Linked DNA regions of Caenorhabditis elegans. The protein of the gene in region 2 purifies or fractionates together with the protein of the main gene of each other region. This does not show direct contact. Each region holds a gene or a part of one and is shown on either strand. Other genes may lie near its edges. The genes, in order: kal-1, egl-15 and klo-1.

The links.
Region 1: the proteins of egl-15 (region 2) and kal-1 purify together in Caenorhabditis elegans (affinity purification with western blotting, with the first as the bait; one study listed by BioGRID). This does not show direct contact.
Region 3: the proteins of egl-15 (region 2) and klo-1 purify together in Caenorhabditis elegans (affinity purification with western blotting; one study listed by BioGRID). This does not show direct contact.

What each region holds. Positions count from the first base shown.
Region 1 is NC_003279.8:14,138,608-14,144,642, forward strand, and holds the start of kal-1 (WAP-type 'four-disulfide core), read right to left. Parts: upstream 3,601-6,035; 5' UTR 3,598-3,600; coding exon 3,490-3,597; intron 1-3,489.
Region 2 is NC_003284.9:11,014,308-11,022,989, forward strand, and holds the start of egl-15 (receptor protein-tyrosine kinase), read left to right. Parts: upstream 1-2,092; 5' UTR 2,093-2,133; coding exon 2,134-2,221; intron 2,222-2,274; coding exon 2,275-2,336; intron 2,337-2,383; coding exon 2,384-2,545; intron 2,546-3,128; coding exon 3,129-3,198; intron 3,199-3,272; coding exon 3,273-3,623; intron 3,624-3,637; coding exon of another isoform or gene 3,638-3,832; intron 3,833-3,907; coding exon 3,908-4,143; intron 4,144-4,217; coding exon 4,218-4,457; intron 4,458-4,505; coding exon 4,506-4,667; intron 4,668-4,713; coding exon 4,714-4,821; intron 4,822-4,870; coding exon 4,871-5,307; intron 5,308-5,375; coding exon 5,376-5,454; intron 5,455-5,509; coding exon 5,510-5,803; intron 5,804-5,979; coding exon 5,980-6,176; intron 6,177-6,226; coding exon 6,227-6,310; intron 6,311-6,842; coding exon 6,843-6,947; intron 6,948-7,001; coding exon 7,002-7,164; intron 7,165-7,209; coding exon 7,210-7,323; intron 7,324-7,415; coding exon 7,416-7,542; coding exon of another isoform or gene 7,543-7,586; and 9 more. Other genes in the region: F58A3.3 (RHDF1), read left to right, coding at 29-105. UniProt on the Caenorhabditis elegans protein: Receptor tyrosine kinase required for larval development. May phosphorylate adapter protein soc-1 which in turn may result in the recruitment and/or activation of phosphatase ptp-2.
Region 3 is NC_003282.8:7,744,348-7,749,839, reverse strand, and holds klo-1 (Glycoside hydrolase family 1 protein), read left to right. Parts: upstream 1-1,838; 5' UTR 1,839-1,851; coding exon 1,852-1,939; intron 1,940-1,998; coding exon 1,999-2,264; intron 2,265-2,314; coding exon 2,315-2,568; intron 2,569-2,652; coding exon 2,653-2,797; intron 2,798-2,838; coding exon 2,839-2,980; intron 2,981-3,134; coding exon 3,135-3,264; intron 3,265-3,305; coding exon 3,306-3,517; intron 3,518-3,605; coding exon 3,606-3,808; 3' UTR 3,809-3,861; downstream 3,862-5,492. Other genes in the region: C46A5.4 (Peroxidase), read left to right, coding at 42-538, 809-957, 1,004-1,226, 1,353-1,626; npr-35 (G-protein coupled receptors family 1 profile domain-containing protein), read right to left, coding at 4,124-4,295, 4,457-4,584, 4,630-4,782, 4,928-5,110, 5,157-5,386.

The DNA.
Region 1 (6,035 bases), on a different chromosome or scaffold from region 2:
AACCGATATAGGCTCTTAGAAGACCCTAAGGTGCACCAGCCAAAAAAGCCTTACCATGCCGAGTCCTAGTGATCTCAGGATCCATGATCTCAGGGAGCACGTATTTCTTCAACCAAATGGTCTAAGCTAATTTAGGCCTTCAGTAGACCTCTATCAAGCTCATGGTTTTTTTTGCAAAGCCTCCCTGGTCTCCTACAAGCTTAGAGGCCAATCTAGATTTTTAGAACACCCATTTCAAGCCGACCGTCCAGCTTTGACCCTAACCAAACTAGGGCCAACCTAGACTCCCTAGACCCCCAAAGTCACTAGATTTCTGCTCCCCAGGACCTTCAATTCGTACTTTTTTCTCTTCTTTTTCATGTCTTTTCTTCTCTCCACCAAACCCCTAATTATTGAGAAGGTCCCCCCACAAACTACTAACTAACTTTTTTCGTTAGCAAAGCATAGTAGTAAAGTCACTCTCTTTTTGACCTCCGACAGCGCGTGTCATTGTCACTGATTGATGATGTTCGTTAGAGCAAAAAAGAGGAAAGGAGCCGCCAAACTAACATATACCTGACCTCACACCAGCAGAGCTTCCCCCTTTTCCAATATCTTTGCCTTAATCCGAACCTTCTATATGAATATATATTCATTATTATAATTATTACCCCACCACATTCCTTTTCAAGAGATTTCAAAATGAAAAGTAGTAGTAGTAGTGTTGAGAAAGAGATTGGAATCTAAATCCGAATGAAGACGCGGAGGGGTCTCTCCATAAAACTAATTGCCGTCGAGTTTGTGATGCGTGACAATTTCTTGGCCCTGATGCGCGCAGTAAATCATGAACAGCGGTTGTCAGTAAGAGAAGCGAGTAGGTTGTAAATTGCGCGCGGTACGGTGGTCTTGAAACTGATACGGTGGGGTACGGTAAAAATTGGCTAAAGTAAAAAATTGGTTCCCACTGGGCTAAATTATGCTTAAATTGAAACTGATGTCACCTGATTTTTAGGAATTTTTAAAGAATTTTTGGAACTGAAGTATCTTAAAAATGCTTTAAATTGGTCTAAAATTATCAAAATTTGCAGAAAAGGAACAGAAAATCTAGCTTGAAAACTCTTGAAATTTTTCACACCTCATAAAAAGTCATGGACAAGGTCGAAAAATGGTTCAAAATTCTGAAAATTGGGAGAAAAACAGCCTGAAGGCTCTCAAAAGCGGAGAAAATTAGCTTAAAGCATGTGGAATTAACCGAAATCAGCTATCAAAAATCAATCAGAAAAATCAGCTTAAAGTAGCTCGAACCTACCCAAACACTGTCAAAATCTGTTCAGATCACCCAAAAAATCTAGAAAAATCTCAAAATTTGGATAAAATATGTGTAAATTAGCCCAACAAATTAGCTGAAAACACGGAGAAATTGCTCTAAAAACATTAAATTTTCAAAAAAATCACTAAAATCTGTGTAGAATCACTTAGACACCCTGAACAGTCGGTTGCACCATGTTAACCCTTGCCGAGTTTTGACCAAAAATGGTGCAAAATGTCACAAAAAAGCCTGCGATTTCCCTCAAAATCCATCATCAAAATCCCCTAAAAGCTCAAAATTTGGACAAAATAGGTAAAAGTTAGCCTAAACATTTTCAAAATCGGTGAAAATTCACTCTAAAACTGCTAAAACAGTCCTAAACTCGTTACACTGTATAGAAGTACTGAGGAGCCCTTTATGGCCGGTTGCACCATGATAAAACAGATAAAACTCGTCGAATTTTGGCTAAAACTGATGCGAAATTTTTCTAAAAACCCCCCAAATTTCCGGAAATTTGTCCCAAAAACTCCAAAATTCCCTCCCAAGGCCAAATCAATGCACTCTTGAGTGCACTTGGCCGACCTCGGACCTCCTTATTCGAACAAAAGTTTGTGTGTGTGTGTGTGTGTGGACAATGTGTGAATATGACAATAGGGAAGAGTTCACACCGGAAGAGGGGTCTATTCATAACATTCCGAGAGACCTCCTAGGGGTTATTAAGTGGGTCCAGCTACCAAGTTTTATGACTCTTCCCCCCTACCCCTCACCCTATCCCCCCTTAGTAAGAGTCAACAAAAACAACACATTAATTTAGTTTTAGAGCCCAATTCCCCCCCGCGCAGCTGCTCTTTACTTTTATCGTTTACAACATCTAGAAACAACAATGAGTAGTATATGTGACACCTGTAGGGGAGGAGGTCAGGTATCCATCCCCCCATCAGCTGGCAGGAAGTGGTCCCTGCTATTACCCCCACCCCCCTCCATTAGATTTTATCTAGAAGAAACAATGTTTCTTTTTTGAATACCCAATACCTCCATCTTGATAGCACGTTACGCAAGTCACTTTTAATGTTTTCATATACAAAGAGGTACCGCTTAATGTACTAAAATTGCGTAAGGTGTATCGATGGACTCGTATAAGTTGGCGGGCTAGGTTTTTGAATGGTCTTGGCTGGAAAAAGCAAAAATAGATGATTTACAAATTTGAATTTCCCGCCAGCAACTGTATTACTGTAGAAAATGTGAAAAAAGTTTTGGCGGAGATTCAAATTTGTCAAAAAACATATTTTTGGCTTGATTTTCAAATTTTTTTAAAAAAATGTTTGGCGGGAATTTCAAATTTTCATTGAAAATCTAATTTTGGCGGGAATTTCAATTTTTTGAGAAAAACCAATTTTTTGGCGGGAAATTCAATTTTTCTGAGAAGCTACATGTTCGGCCAAAAGTTCAAATTTTCTGAGGAAAATCAAATTTGGCGGGAAATTCAAAATTTCAAAGAAAATAGTTTTGGCGGGAAATTTAAATTTTCTGTGAAAAAAAATTTGGCGGGAAATTCAAAATTTCTGAGAAGAACTGTTTTGGCAGGAAATTCAACATTTCCTCAGAAAACAAATTTTTAGCGGTAGATTCGAATTTTCTAAGAAACTATATTTTCAAGCGAGAAATTCAAAATTTCAGAGTAATTTTTTTGGCGGGAAATTTGAATTTTCTGACAAATTATATACTCAGAAAATTGCTCCCAAAAGCTGAAATCCCCTTCAAACTCCCCCAGAAAAAAAAATCCGAATTTCCCGCCAAATCCCGAAAATTCGCCAAATCAATTCTATTTGTACACCCATAAATTACACTGTACAGTATCTTGCTTGTAAATCTCCCAAAACTTTCTTTGGGGGAGGTCTACCCTTATCAACATCTCCTACCACCGGAATTCGCCCTTGATTGACATGTTTGTTCTTCTACATGTCGTCGTATATTTAGGCGGGGGGGGGGGGGGGGGTATCCACTTGAAAACCGAGAAAAGGAGCCGCTATGTGTGTGTGTGTCGGTATTTGGAGAGCATGAAACAATGACAATATGCCTAGGTCACAGGTACTAGAGCCAAGTGGTTATGGATATAAGGACTCTTTCCTAGATTGTGACATGGTGCATCGATTTTTGCTCAATTTTTCCCATAAATTAGCCAACAATTTCCAAAAACTCACTTGTAGCCTCTGATCCATCAAGTGAAGGCATTGAGCCTGACATCGAGTCGAAATTAGCTCGTCCGGGCTCACGGAGCCCAATATGAATAGGAGCAGCAGTAGAATCATGTGCTGTAAGAGTAAAAATGTGCAAAAAAAAAAAAGAAAAAAAGAAGTTAAAAGAGTTAACGAGCCCAATTTGCATATTTTATGAACTGGCGAAGGGGGAGAAGAAGATAAATGTAGCTTTTTAGGGGGTAAAAATGCAGTTTTTGAGTTAAAAATTGAAGAAAAATGAGGAAAAGTACAGCAAAAAGCTCAAAACTGCTGAGAAATCCGATAAAAACTATGTAAAAAAGGAAAAAAGCACATGGTGCATCGACTAACAAATTTATCGATGCACCATGATTTTTTCTCGAGTTTTCTCGAATTTTTCGTGATTTTTAAGCTTTCCCTGTTGTTCTCTAAGTTTCTAACATCTTTTTCCGTTTTTTAAATTAAAAAATAACACAAAAAATACCAAAAAATGCTCAAAAACCTTACAAAAATATGTTAGAAACTCAGGGCAATGCTCACGGTGCATCGATCAATTTTGAAAATCTACGAAAAAAACCTTCAAAACTAAGAAAAACTCAGAAAAAAGCTCATGATGCATCGAAAAATTAAGGAAATCTACAAAAAAAAACCTTTAAAACTACGAAAATTCAAAAAAAAAGAAGTTATGGTGCATTGAGAAAAAGAAAAAGGCTTTTCAGAAAAAGGCTTCAAAACTACAAAAAAAATCAGAAAATCCAGAAAAAAGCACATGGTGCATCGACTGATCCAGTGGAACCGCCAAAAATTCAGAAAAAAAACCCCACGAAAACCCAAAATTGTACAAAATGACCGTAGAACCCGGAAAAATTCGCCCCAAAATCTAATAAAATATTATGACAAACGACAAATAACAATAGGGGGCCTCTAAATGATACACGCGTTCCCAAACAAACATATTAAATTCATTGCCCAGGGAGGAGGTACGGGGGGTGAGGAATGACAAGAAATGGGAGGGGCATGGAGACAAAAGAACCGCCCATCCGTTCTCAGAGACGCAGGGAGGAAAAGGATGGGGGAAGGAAGAGGGGAAGAGTCTGATTTGGTGAGGGAGCTCAGGGTGATAGGAAAAAGAGTATATTATCGAAAAAATACGATCGCACAAATTTCTCATAATTTATTTTTGATCTACCTCTGTTGAACTTGACTCCGCCCCCAATCTTGTTTCCGTTGTTAATTTGTTGTGGCTGTCTTGTAGAAGGTAGGGGAGGAGCCTAATCAACAAGGTAGATCAAAAATAAATTATGAGAAAATTGTGCGATCGTATTTTTTCGATAATAATTTGAAAAATGGTCTGAAAATCTGTTTAAAACCAAAACCACAGAGAAATACAGAACACTCATGGTGCATCGACAAATTCTAGGAATTTGAGGAAAAACTTTCAAAACTACGAAAAATTGCAAAAACCCCGGCCAAAAGCTCATGGTGCATCGATAAATTGGGGGAATTTGCGGGAAAAAAACCTCCAAAACTATTATACGAAAAATTTTTTAAAAATCGAGAAGAACGCTCATGGTGCATCGACAGGTTTGAAAAATGTATAGAAGAAGGCTTTAAATATACAAAAAATGCAATAAATCTAGAATAAAACACATGGTGCATCAATAAATTTTAAGAATTTGCGGGAAAAAAACGTTCCAAACTATGAAATAATTCAAAGACCCCGGAAAAAAGCTTATGGTGCATCGAAAAAAATCTACTAAATTATCTGAAAATTTAAAGCTTATGGTGCATTGATTAACACGGTGAATTTCAGAATAATTTATCGAAAAATCAAGAAAAAGCCCTGAAACTTGCCCAAAAATCTTCACAAAATCATGGTGCATCGACCAAAAAAAAAGGCTGAAAATCACGGTTTGATCTACAAAAAATGCGGGAATTTTTCGCCCAAAAAAATGTGATGTTAGCATTTCTTTTTGTTCTTAATCATGCGAAATCAGTTGAGAAGTCTGCCCTATTTCTCCCCCATTTTTTGTAGATCTACGTAGATCAAGCCGAAATGACCCACATATGGTGCATCGACAAATTCTCGGAATTTAGGAAAAGACATTCAAAACCACAAAAAAATTCTGAAAATTCAAGTGAAAGCTCATGGTGCATCAAGTAACTCAGCGGATTCGCTAAAAAAATCTCTTGAAGTCTGCTAAACTAGCTATAAATTAGCCTATTTTGATTAATTTTAAGGTAGAAAAAACGCTGAAAATTTGCTCAAAAGCCAGAAAATGAAGCTTTTTTTCTCCCGAAAACTTAAACTTTCGCTCAAATTTCTTAGAAAATTCTATTTTTTTAGAGGTACTTTGCCTGGTTTAGTTTGAAATTTCAATTTTATTTTACCAGCTTATCTATAGTAATGCTAATGTTTGAAGGTAAATAATGAAGTTATGTGCACACATTTTCAAAATATAGCCTCCCTTAGGACTTAATTAGTGAGAATCTTGATAAATACATATATAAGTTCAGGAATCTATAATAAG
Region 2 (8,682 bases):
AACATTCGTGTTGCAATTCTGTATTTAGGAGTTCTGTTCTTCCAAGTTGATATGGCTGGTACATTACGGGACGACGGAAAATTGTGGCTTGACTGCCTGAATTAACAGTTGCCACACATATCGTTTAATGATAATTGTAAGCTTTATTGTATCCATTTCATTGTTTTCATTCAATTTTAGATTGCTTTAATAAATAGAAGAGATTTACGGCGTTAAATCATTTGTTACTTGTTTTGTCCTCCTCGTGACATTGAATGAGGTGGTGCCGTTCCACTGCGCGTGATATATGATACGCAGCCAATTCTCGGTAGACCCGCTTACTTCTTCGACCTTTCGCATTTAATTGCATTCTGATATCTATTTTCATATTGACCACATGTTGTTCACCTGCACACTGTCAAAATGACTCATTTACAATAACTTTTCGCGTTCGAGATTTATAAAGGAATGCAACACAAACAGGTGCGCGTAAATAAAGAAAAACCGAAATTGAATTAGCTTTTGCATCTAAATATGTCGCCTACAATTATCCCGTGTTCTATCATTTTTGGCGACTGACTGCCTTATGCGCAATGCCCAATCACTAACCCCTTTTCTTTTTAACGCATCTCTTTTCTCATCATTGTCCATTCTCGTTTATCTCTCCTTCTTTTTCTAATTCCCTTGATTTTCTCTCACTTTCTGATTGCATTTTTCTATATTGATTAGCCTGTAGACACATACCAAATACTCCAAAAAATAAGACCCACAGCAACAAAAAACCGACGCCTATGTTGTCGGTTACCGTCTCATGATTGTAATGCCCCCTTCTCTTTTTCTTATCACTCTTTTCTAATGGAATTCTTGGGGGCAACAAACTGGTTTAATGACAAAATTGAAACAAGAAATCCATTCACCTACCTGTTAAAATTGAGTAAATGATGTGACATTTGAATTAATTAGACTCGCAACTAACCATCTCGTATCCGCGATAAGCATCTCTTGGAATGTTGGTCACACCCTGTTGTGCAACTATTAAGTTTTGAAATTACAATTTTATAATACATAACTTCTACAAAAAAGTGCCTAGAAATCGCACAGATTAAATTACACTTCAATAATCAAAAAGCTGGTTTATAACTAAATGTTCTAATCATTAATCACAACCTAAGTTTTTTATGAACATTTTCTTTTTATTTTTTTAGGAATATTTAGATAGAATGTTTCACTAAAGAAGTATCTCATTATTTTGAAAACTAGCCTTATAATCTCAAATTTGATCTAATTTAAACTATTTTATATGCAATGTATGACGTTGGTTTTGAAAAGTTACCATAGCGTTATTACGCTTACATCAGCTGCTAAAATTTGTTTTTATTATACATAACGAGTTTTTATAAAACCTCAAATTGCTCTAAAAAAATTACATAACTCTATAACATAGCCGTGATCATTGAAAAGATAGACCCACTTTATTCGCTATATCATACTGCAAGACTAGCAATAAAAAGTTACATTGTGTCCGGAAATGTTGAAAGGTTTTTGTTTCCGTAACATATGCACTGCATCCGGAAGAAACACCTCCAGATGTGACTTCTTATTCAAGGTTTTGCTTCGATATCAATCGAAACGGCATTGTGTCATTCCACCTTGTCGGCGAAGACAACGAATCCACAACATCTTAACATCTGGACGTCTTTCGTCGTCTCAATTTGACGCTCGTTCACTTTTTACTCTTTTTATTATCGCCCTCCGCTCGCTGCTCGTTTTTTTTTTCTATGAGCAACATATGCGTAAATTTAGACGGTTCTAATTATGATTTGCTTTAGTTTCTTGATTGTTCCCAGAGATCATTAGACCTTATGACCCAGAGGGTCGGAACTTTTGAAAACGTTGCGCGGGTGTCGCCAATTTGTTACATATGGTGGTGGGGTATGGAGCCAGTAATATATAACCCATGGCTCGCGCAGAGGTACCAGTAAGAACCCAACAAATAAATCTTTGTACCGGTCTGATTCACCTCTCTCACATGTATTCAATTTCAAAAGTTTCACAGCTTCTCCTTCTGAGTGTTTTAATATTTTGATTATTAGTAGATAAATAGTAGATACAAAAGATTGCAGAAATTCGAATGTTTGCCTGATACATATCATCATGAGTTATTTCCTTGCATCCTGCCTCGGTGTGGGCTTACTTTCTACAGTTTCTTGTTCTCTTCAAGGATTGACCAGTCATTACAGAGGTAAGAGAGTTGTCACAAAATCTAATTTATTTTCATATTATTCGATTTTACAGAAAATATTCCCCGTTTCAAGCATGTAGCAAACGAAAGATACGAAGTATTTCTTGGAGATGAGGTTTGGTGGAACAAATATTTAACAGCAATAGATGTACACAGTTTTAGATAAAATTTGACTGTCAAACCGCGGCGTCAAAGATTTCTGCCTTTGTCGAATGGTATCGTAATGACAAGTTACTCAAAAATGATCAAATAGATAAAGACAAAATTCGGAAAGATAATAACAGGATGATGCTTCACTTGAAGAATATTGATGTTTCAGATCAGGTATATGATTTTTTATTATTTTTGTGGTTTTTTTTTTGTTGAACAATGTGGTTAGAACACCAAGTATCGCATTTCTCCTATTAGAATTGCATGCATTTCTATTTTTTTAATTGACAATTTAGAGTGCAAAGACTGATAGGAATTCAAGACTAACATACACTATGAAACTGTATTTCGATGTCTCGTTTCAAATTTGGTTTTTCTTGTTTTTAACCTAAAATACTGGAGTTACCTAAAATACCGTAAAGAAACAATACAACATGATAATTAAAATGATTTAATGTTTGAAAAATGTTTGGAATTATTAAAAAAAAACATTTAACCAATAAAAAATATCTTGTAGATGCTAAAGTTTGTGTGATATCTCTTGCGCGTGTTTAGTTCTGCAAGAATAATATGAAAGAAAATAGGAAAAAAAACTATAACCGACTACCATGAGTTTTAAGCATCATCAAAAATATATATTAATTCAAAAATACCAACAAACTGAGAACTTTTTTCAGCAGTTTTTGACTCTGTCAACTTAAAAAAAAACGTTTATTTAAAAACGTTTAAAAACGTTTAAAAACTAATATTTTTGCAGGGTCTTTGGTCTTGCCGCGTACACAACGCATATGGACAAATATCACGAAATTTTACAGTTGAAGTTATTGGTAAGTATCTCTATTGCTCGATTCTTTGCAGTGCAAGCATAATTTCTTCCATGCATGGTGTGCTTTGTTTTCAGACTTTTGTGATTACTTCCTGTTTCCCGATATTCATCATTTGAACATTCCGATGGAATGTGTTTGTTTATGGAAATACAACAAAGAAGCAAAACGATCTGATGTGAACTATGCAGCGGTAACAGGAGAAGTCTGCTCAAAGTACGCATCTCGCATGATAAATAGAGCACGAAAACCGTTGCCAATGATTCCTTGCTTTGGTGATCACTGCAAAGAATTTGACACTACTCCTGTTTCGGATTTTGGTTTACCTGGGAAACCCGAGGACGATCCTTTAGTAAAGCGTGTTGTTTTGAAAAAAGATGATGTGATTGTGCCCGTGCATGACTCTGAAGAAAGTCCATCCGAATCCAGTAAGTTATTTCAGATCCACTTAAACTGTTCGATTGGCTCACTGAGCATCGAGTATTCGATATTAGTCATTTATTGCCAAAATTGCTACCTCCTGCGGAAATGAGGAGAGTGAAAAGCCAATTGGGCGGATGGGAGAAGATGAATAATGAACAGAAAATTGTTCGAGCCAGGCACATTCTGAGATTAAGACAGATCAATCATGCTTTGGGTAGGCTACATCAGTGGTTGAATTATTTTAAATGCTTCATTTTCTTCTTATATATCTCAGTAAACTTGTTTTTAGGAACCGAATTTATCAATGCTGATGAAAAAGAAAACAAAGAAGACGAAGAAGAAGACTATAGTGTTTCACAACCGGTTGCTCCAGATGCGGGGCTCACTGAGCTGAATATTACTGCGGAAGAGCCACCATATTTCAAGTCAAACGACAACATTGTATTGTTTAATGAAACGCATGCTCTACCAGCAGGACGAACATTGAAACTTAATTGTCGCGCAAAAGGATACCCTGAGCCACAGGTACGATTCATGAAAAACTTGAAATTTTTCACGTAAAGAAACATTGGATTTTCAATCAATGCATTTGATCACAGATTATCTGGTACAAAAACGGCAAAATGTTGAAGAAAAGTAGTGCTCGGTCCGGCGGATACGAATTCAAGTTCAATAGATGGTCTTTAGAAGTGGAAGATGCTGTCGTAGCAGATTCTGGGGAGTTTCATTGTGAAGCATTGAACAAAGTTGGAAGTGCAAAAAAGTATTTCCATGTGATCATAGTCAACAGAATGAGAAGACCGCCCATTATCGTTCCGAATATTTTGGCTAATCAATCAGTAAGATTTTGCCTCACGGCATCTATAGTTTCAATGTTTTATATTTAGGTAAATATTAATGACACTGCCACATTCCACTGCAAAGTTGTCTCTGACTTATTGCCTCATATTATTTGGGTACGCATCAACAAAATCAATGGGTCGTATAGCTACTACAACAATTCAGCTGAAGAGTATATGTTCAATTACACAGAGATGGACACTTTTGATGTATGTTATGAAACATGTTCTCATCTATCAAAAAGTGTCGTTTCAGAAAGCGCACGTCCATCACGTTGGTGATGAATCGACGCTTACTATTTTCAATGTGTCGCTGGATGATCAGGGAATATATGCTTGTCTCAGTGGAAACTCACTGGGGATGGTAAGAAATTGATTGAACCTTCTAGTTGAACAAATTAAGAGTTTTACAGTCGATGGCGAATGCCACTTTAACGGTGAATGAGTTTATGGCCATACATTTGCTCACTGGTGACGAACCGAAGATAGATAGATGGACAACATCCGATTATATATTTACAACAATTCTGCTTTTCTTACTGCTTGCTGCAACATTATTTGGAATTTTGTTTATGGTGTGCAAACAAACACTACACAAAAAAGGATTCATGGATGATACTGTTGGATTAGTGGCAAGAAAAAAAAGAGTCGTAGTTAGCAAAAGGCCAATGAATGAAGATAATGAGAATTCGGATGATGAGCCATCACCTTATCAAATTCAAATAATAGAGACTCCAATTACAAAGAAAGAAGCAGCGAGAAAACAAAGAAAACGTATGAATTCAGAAAACACTGTTCTTTCGGAATACGAGGTTGATTCGGATCCAGTTTGGGAAGTTGAAAGATCAAAGTGGGTCAAATCTTTAATACATTCAGCCAGACAAGAATTCAATTTAAACATTAAATTTCAACGTTTAGATTGAGTTTGGTTCACATGCTTGGCGAGGGAGCATTTGGAGAAGTTTGGAAAGCAACATACAAAGAAACAGAAAACAATGTAATTTTGGGAAAACAAAAAAACAAGAAAATCTGAAATTTTAATTGCGTTTCAGGAAATCGCAGTTGCTGTCAAAAAATTGAAAATGTCAGCTCACGAAAAAGAGCTCATTGACTTGGTCAGTGAAATGGAAACATTCAAAGTTATAGGAGAACATGAGAACGTGTTGCGATTGATTGGATGCTGTACAGGCGCTGGTCCGCTTTATGTCGTTGTTGAGCTGTGCAAGCATGGGAATTTGCGCGATTTCTTGAGAGCACATAGACCTAAGGAAGAGAAGGCAAAAAAGTCCAGCCAAGAATTGACGGATTATTTGGAACCACGAAAAGCATCTGATAAGGATGACATTGTGAGTGGCTTATGTTTTGAATAAAATATGATTTTTTCCACTGACAAAATTTGAAATACTCATCAAACTTTGAAAATCTTGTAGAAAAGCGTTTTCCTGATTGCTCATTATCAGTAAACCTGTCTTAGTCAGTTTTAAATTTACCAGAGTAATTTTGCTGAAATTTTCATTTTTAGGAGCTCATACCAAATTTGACACAACGCCATCTTGTACAATTTGCTTGGCAAGTGGCTCAAGGAATGAACTTCTTGGCATCAAAGAAGATCATACATCGTGATTTGGCAGCAAGAAATGTTCTCGTCGGTGATGGACACGTTCTGAAAATATCGGATTTTGGACTATCGAGAGATGTGCACTGTAACGATTATTATAGGTTGTAACATTATTCCTAATGATATATTACTGATGATATATTACTTCCAGAAAACGTGGAAACGGCAGACTTCCCATTAAATGGATGGCTTTAGAAGCGTTGGACTCAAATGTATACACCGTGGAAAGTGATGTGTGAGTAATGGTTTTCTGTGGTAGAAAAGTTTCGTGGAGGTCCTTTCCAGGTTCACGTTTGAAAAAAATTGATTTTTCAATATAATCACATATGTCTTATTTGTCTTTTCACACAAGTTAATCATCCTGAGTCAACCTGAGCATCTGAATCGGGATAGCTGTATATTTATTTTACTTATTTTGGGTTTTTAGGATACAACGTTTTAGGATTTTAATTTAGGGAAAAACATTAAACATAAATATATTTGTGATATGTCTGAATTGAAGTTGTTTCCCGCCTGTGGAAAAATAGTTATAAAAAACTATTGAACGACAATTTAATTTAACAAAAAATATATTATTCAAATTTGAATATCAAAAAAAAAAAATACTATTGCTTCCAAAACTATCACTCTGTGAACAATGCATTCACCATTTTTCTTGGCACGCTTTTATTTCAGTTTTCCATTTACATTTTTTGGGGCAATTTTAGGGCACGACAGTGGTTGTGTACCAAAATTAATACTATAATGACTCATTGATACTTTTGTAGATGGTCATATGGAGTTCTCCTTTGGGAAATCATGACACTTGGTGGAACTCCCTATCCAACGATTGCCATGCCTGAACTCTATGCTAACCTCAAAGAAGGATACAGGTGAAAATATTGAGAAAAACATGCAAATCTCACCTGTCTGACATGTTTTTGCAGAATGGAGCCACCACATTTATGTCCCCAAGAAGTCTACCATTTGATGTGCAGCTGCTGGAGAGAAAAATTGGAAGAACGACCATCTTTTAAAACAATCGTAGATTATTTGGATTGGATGTTAACAATGACAAATGAGACTATTGAGGGATCACAAGAATTTAATGTAAGGTCATACATCTGTGACAACATTTTTGAGGATATTTTCCAGGATCAATTTTTCTCCGAAAGATCCACGGCATCAGGTCCAGTTTCTCCTATGGAGTCATTCCAGAAAAAGAGAAAACATCGCCCTCTTTCAGCTCCAGTGAATCTTCCATCAGAGGTAGATCAAAACGTAATTTCGTACATAACGTATTTAAATTTTAAAAGAATTTAACCTATGAATTCGGAATCCATAAAGCACTGTTTTTGCAGCCACAACACACAATTTGCGACGACTATGAGTCCAATTTTTCTGTAGAACCACCCAATGATCCGAATCATCTCTACTGCAATGACAATATGCTGAAAAATCACATTATTACACCGGAAACCTCTCAACGTATTCCATCAAACAACAATAGCATGAGCAAACCCGAATTTTGACCGTTTTTAGTGTACATCCACAAAGTGCTCAACGAACCAATCGGAAACGGGTATGTTCGACAAGATAAATTAGCTCGTGCCGTCAGCGGTGTTGCCAACCAATCTCTCGACTCTGCCCTCGGTTCACCAGCTTGGCCTTCGTACGACCGTCCCTCTAACAAAGCTTCTTGTTTAGGTTCGTTTTCAGTTCGCTACTGACATTTAAGTTCAGGGCAACGATTTCAATGAATTTATAGATGATGAGAAGCATCACTACTATTACTCATAGTAGTCTCTCCGCCGTTATCAGATGTCATTTAAAAGTCCATTGTGGTAATCATGTTTCCGTGTTGTGTGTTTTTGTCCTGTAACATTTTTGTTTGGTGTAATGGGTTGCAGAACATCAAATCACATAAGTTAGCTTACAGATTTGCCTCCGTCAAGTGTCCAGACTAACATGACACTTATAAATGTTGTGCTATGTAACCTTTAAAGTTTCATTTGCAGATCAAACTCACCAGTATTATAATACAACGTCTAAAATTCAATATCTTCATTTTACCTTCGATGATCCAGATTGTATGACTAGGCAAGTATCGAAACAAATTTTAATAATTAGTAAACAAACTTGCTAGATAAAAACAGCCAATAGAGTTTTTTTATTGTTTAAAAACTTTACATTAAAATAAAACCTGAAATTTAAGTTGATAAATATGATACAGTCACACTTACTATTAGTTCAAAAATGTTGATCTTTCAAAATCTCGAATTCAACTAGAACTTGAATAATTTTTCACACATTAATTCCATCACAATTAGTTCTAAACCTAAAAATTAAAAAGCTAACGTTTTAATTTCTAAAAGAGAAGAAACACTTCAAAATGTTTATCTTTAGAACTTGTACGTGTAGGAGCGGCCCAATTATCACCCTCTTTTGCATAATTTTAGGAAAATTATTGTTTACCAGTTACTGAAACAGTTCTTAAATGATCATAGAAAAGCGTAAAAATTAACCAAAATCCGAAATAAAATGTGTCAATAAAAACAATTATAAAACTGAAGTTGTTCTTTTACTTTTAGATCAAGAGATTCTGCAATATTCGAGGAATCATATCAT
Region 3 (5,492 bases), on a different chromosome or scaffold from region 2:
TGTTGTATTGAAATTCCTATATAAACCCACCTAGTTTATAGGAATCCCGTCGAATCAACATTGCACAACTTCAACACATTATTTACAAAGAATGGTTGCCAGTGGTTCTTGGTTGCCAGAATATGGAAAAATGGGGTCTAATGCCACAAACAGCTGGATATTTTGAGGGTTACGATGATCAATGTGATGCCACAATATCCCAAGAAATGTCAACATCTGCATTTCGATTTGGACATTCTTTGATCCGTGGTGTATTCACACGAATGAATGACAATTTCCAAAACATGACAAATCATGTAAATTTAACTGAAACTTTTTCGAATCCATCTCCAGTTTACGATAAGAACTCCGGTCATATGGAGTCAATCTTAATGGGATTAATTGGAGCAAACAGTATGGCTTTTGATCGTCATATTGTCACGGCTGTTCGGAATCATTTGTTCGCAAAACCTGGTGGTCCACTAACTGGACTGGATCTTCCAGCAGTGAATATTCAAAGAGGCAGAGATCACGGAGTTCAAGGTTACAATGCATATAGGTTTGTATTTCAATTTAAATTTTATAAAACCGGCAGTAGATGAAAATGCCTACATTTGTGGCGCGAAATGTCTCCAAGCATATCTTTACGTTTTGCGTCAACCGTTTCTGTCATCACAATTTAGCAATTTCCCTAGTTGTTCACTTGGGTTTCTTAGGCGAAATATTTAACACATAATTACGAGATTAAGTGGTTAACCTCGATGGGTATCGGCTGAGCATATTGTTCGCATGTAAACATTTCAAATTTATATTTTAAGAAGTATTTCAGAAAACACTGTGGACTTCGAAAAGCATCGGCTTTCTCTGATCTTCGTGATGTCATGAACTCAGAAGCTGTGACAGCTTTAGAAACAGCTTATGCTCATGTTGACGACATTGACCTGTTCCCGGGAATCATGAGTGAATCTCCAACTAGAGGTGACCCGGAATTTCTACTTGTTGCTTTTTTAAAATAATTATTAAGGCTCACTTGTTGGCCCAACATTAGCATGTCTTATTGGTGAACAAATGCAAAGATTGAAAAAATGCGACAGATTTTATTATGAGACAAGTGATTCAATGGTTCGATTTACTCCAGATCAACTTGTCGAAATTCGAAAAGCCAGTTTGTCAAGAATTATTTGCGATAATAGTGAATATGCCGCAAATATTCAACCCAATGTGTTCCTTATGCCAGACGATCTTACGTAAGTTGGAGATTTATTGAACAGGTCTATAAATGATCATTTTCAGTTTAATAAACATTTTTAAAAAATTTAAAAAAACAGTTTTCTTATTAATAATTAGTTCAAAAACTTAAATATAATTTTCAGAAACTCTCCGATGACATGCTCTGAACTTTCTGAGATTGACCTGAACAAATGGGTTGAACGAGACTATTGCCTTGTTGATGAACGTGTAGTTAATCGTGGAAAAACTAAACGAATAACTCCATGTATCACCTGTACATGTACATTAGAAGGTCCTGAATGTCATTCAATCACAATTGATGATTGTTCTCGTCTTCTTCGTGATTACTCAATCACTGATATTCAAAAGGATCCAGTTTGCCTCATTCAATGCTCTCAGCAACTCAAAAAGCTTTGAAATAATTTATTTATTTTTTATCAAACTCTAATTTTGATATTCTGACCTCTTACAGTATTCGTTCAAACCTTCTGGTATTCCATTTCATGTACATAAATAATATGATTTTCCATACCTCTATTATCAGGCACAAACAATGTTCATTTACATAACCCGATTGAACACAACTGTTGACACACAAAATACCTCTTATCAGTTATCATTCCGTCGATGTCTTGTTCGGTTATGTCTTTGCCAACTAAATTTCCAAAAAATTTCCAATTGGCTACGGCTACCGCGGCGTATCAAATTGAAGGTGCAAAAAATCTAGATGGTAAGTTTATTTTGAATTAAAAATTATTCTTTTAGAAATTTACTTCTGAAATCATTAAGGCCGCGGATTCAGTACTTGGGATTCAATTCGTTCTGAAAATGGTAGAATTCATGATAACTCGGACCCTGATCTTTCCTGTGAAGGTCGTCTAAAATACAAAGAAGACGTTGCTCTTCTCTCAAAAATCGGTGTCACCAGCTACCGATTTTCAATTTCTTGGTCCAGAATTCTTCCAGATGGAACTTTAAAAACAATAAATGAAGATGGCATTCAATTCTATCGTGATATTTGTCTTCTACTACGTGACAATGGAATTGAGCCAATTGTATGTAATAATTTCTTTGAAACATAAAAAAGCGAAAACATGTTATTTAGGTGACACTGTTCCATTTCGACATGCCTCTTTCAATTTATGACAATGGAACATCATGGCTAAACAAGGAGAATTGTGAACATTTCGAGAAATTCGCAGATTTATGTTTCCAAAAGTTTGGAGATCTTGTGAAGACATGGATAACTTTCAACGAAATAAACATGCAGGCTTGGTCATCAGTTGTAAAGATTGAAGGAGAACTTTGGTTATGCCCAGATCGTCCAGAAATCGAGAATCATGAACAAGCACCTTACATGTCAGTTTCTGAAGAAAAAAACCTTTGAAAGCGAAGGAAAAAACAAATGTTTTGGAATAAGCTGATTGAATATTTTATTTTCAGTGCAGCCACCAACATGCTTCTTACTCACGCAAAAATTTATCGAAACTACCAGAAAAACTACAAAGAAACTCAAAATGGCTTGATCGGAATAACAAATGGTGGAAGATTCTGTCTACCTGCTTCAGATTCTCCTGCAGATCTTGATGTTAGTCAAACTATTGACTTCCTTACTTTAATGATTTGCAGGCATGTAATCGAGCGCTGGATTGGCTCTTCAATTATACAATTGAACCAATTTTGACTGATTCCGGAGACTTCCCAGCCTCAATGAGAGAAAAATTACCGTTTCTACCAAAGTTCTCTGAAGAAGAAAAGAAACTCATCAAAGGTTAGCTGTCGATCGGAAATTTTTGATTTTAAAAAGATTAGTTAACTTTTTTTTTCTAAGTTAGCCTTGCACCATATTGGCAGCTCTAAATTCATTTTGCTGATATATTTTACCAATTATAATTTTCAATTTTTTTCAATTATAATTTTTTCAGGAAGCACTGATTTCCTGGGAATAAACTATTATCTCAGCCACATTGTTCGTAATTTAAATGATGGGGAGGAGCCAGCATCTCAATCAGAAAGAGACGCAGCTTATGCGTTTAATGAAGGAAAATGGGAAAAGTTGGTTTTTTCAAGTTCTCCTATAACCAAGAAATTTGCAGAATTTGTGGTGAGACATGGGTTCGTTATGCACCAGACGGTTTGTTCGGGCTTTTGAAATATGTTAGAGACAAGTACAATAATATTCCTGTATTCATCACTGAAAATGGATGTATGGATTTGGTAGGAGGTGAAGGAAGAAAAGAAGAGGAGATACTTGATGATAAGCATCGCATAAAATTTATTTCCGGACATTTGGAAGCGGTAGCTAAAGGTAAATTAAATTTGAAAAAAGTTTCGAAAAATAAAAAAACAATGATATTCAATTAATTTTTGGGAAACTTCGATCACTTGAATTTCAGCACTGGAAGAAGGATGTAATGTCATTGGCTACACACTCTGGACTCTGATGGATAATTTCGAATGGGATGACGGATTCGGTGTTAAATTTGGAATTTGTCGCGTCGATTTTGATTCTCCAGACAAAACAAGAACCATGAAATATTCGGCTAAATATTATCAAACTTTTATTCGCGAATTTAAAAAGCATCATAATCTTTTGTAGAATGGATACAAATGTATTGATAATAAATAGATTGCATGCTAGTAAAAACATTTAAAGCATTTGTGATGGTTGAAACAATAGAAAACACGTGGAAATGGAAAACCGTAATTGAAAAAAGGAACATGGAAAACGTTTAGTTGTAGGAAACAGTTGATTAAAAAAAAACTTTCTCTATTGTTGATTAATACACTACATAATTTTTTAATTCAATCCGTAATAATGTTTTCATGTTTTCGAATACCTAAGATTCTGAAAATGTTTGAACTCCTAACGTTCTAGATATAAAAATATTCATATTCAATGATTTTAAAAAGTTTAACAATCAGAAGTAGATCTTTCCACCTGTTTTCCATCTAGTTCAATAAGTAAACTAGATGCTCCACCTAAATTTGTTGGTTCAGTTCCAAAATTAGACATTGAAATTGTTGCAGTTGATTTGAAGCCACGAGAGTGACGACGGAGTATTGTGCTTCGGACTCTTTCGTATCTGAAAATATACCGATTATTTGAAAATAAATTTAGTCTTAAAAATAAACGTTAGAAACGCATTTTACAGGAAAATGCATTTACAAGAGATAAATAATACATTTGAATAAAACTAATAAATACAAAAGAAGTAAACTAAAAGTGTCAAAAGCTTTTGCTCACCTTGTCTTACATGGCATCAGTAATATACTTTTGAAAGCTCTTCTGTACTTGTGACTGTATGCAATATAAATTATTGGATTTAAAGAACTCGATAGTAATGACATCCATTGGAATATTGGCCGAATCAACTGAAATTCTTGCTTTTTTAATAAGATAAATATGTAAACAGCTACCATTGAAGTAATTTGAAAAAGATCCGATCGCTGATCAGCAAAGAAGAAAAAATATGTGAAGATGCAATAGAGAGGTAACCAGCAACAAGCAAATACAATTATTACTGTTAACATCATTGTGGCAACTCGTAGTTTTACTCGATCTTCTCGGGCCTAAAAATATTAATATCAATTTACACATAGAAATTTAATGGAATCATTCTAATATCTAGTTTTTGCTAAAAATTTAAAAGAGCCTCGTAAAATAATTTCTTGGCTATCGATTTTTTTGATTTGTTTAAAAATATATAAAACTTACTCTTGCATCAACTGCCAGACTTCTATGTGTTGATACAGTGATAAATATTCTCGTGTATAGACCCGAAATCAAACCAAATGGAACTATGAAAGCCAGCAATAAGTTAACAAATAAAAAATATAATTTTTGATCCGTTTGTGACGTACATAATCGGTAACCATAACTGCCTTCTTGCCATACTATCTGAAATGCATTTTTTGAAAAAAAAACAACGATTTTAAATTTATACCAAATCATAGTTATACCAATTAGGTATTCCGAATATTGCAGCTACTAGCCAAACAGCAAATATAACATATTTTGTATATTCTCGATCCCAGCTAGTGTTGTATTTCAACGTATGGCAAATAGCTAGATAACGATCAGCCGTCACTGCAACCAAGGTGTAAACTGATGCAAATGACGTAGATGCGTTAGCCCATGTGGACAATCGGCAGAAAAATTGACCCCAAAGCCATTCTGAAAATATAAAGCTGTTTTCATTAAAAACGGAAATTTTGCCAAAATATCCCTATAATAGTCTTTTGAGAACCACTTTCAAAAAATGTCAAAATTCTCTGTCAAA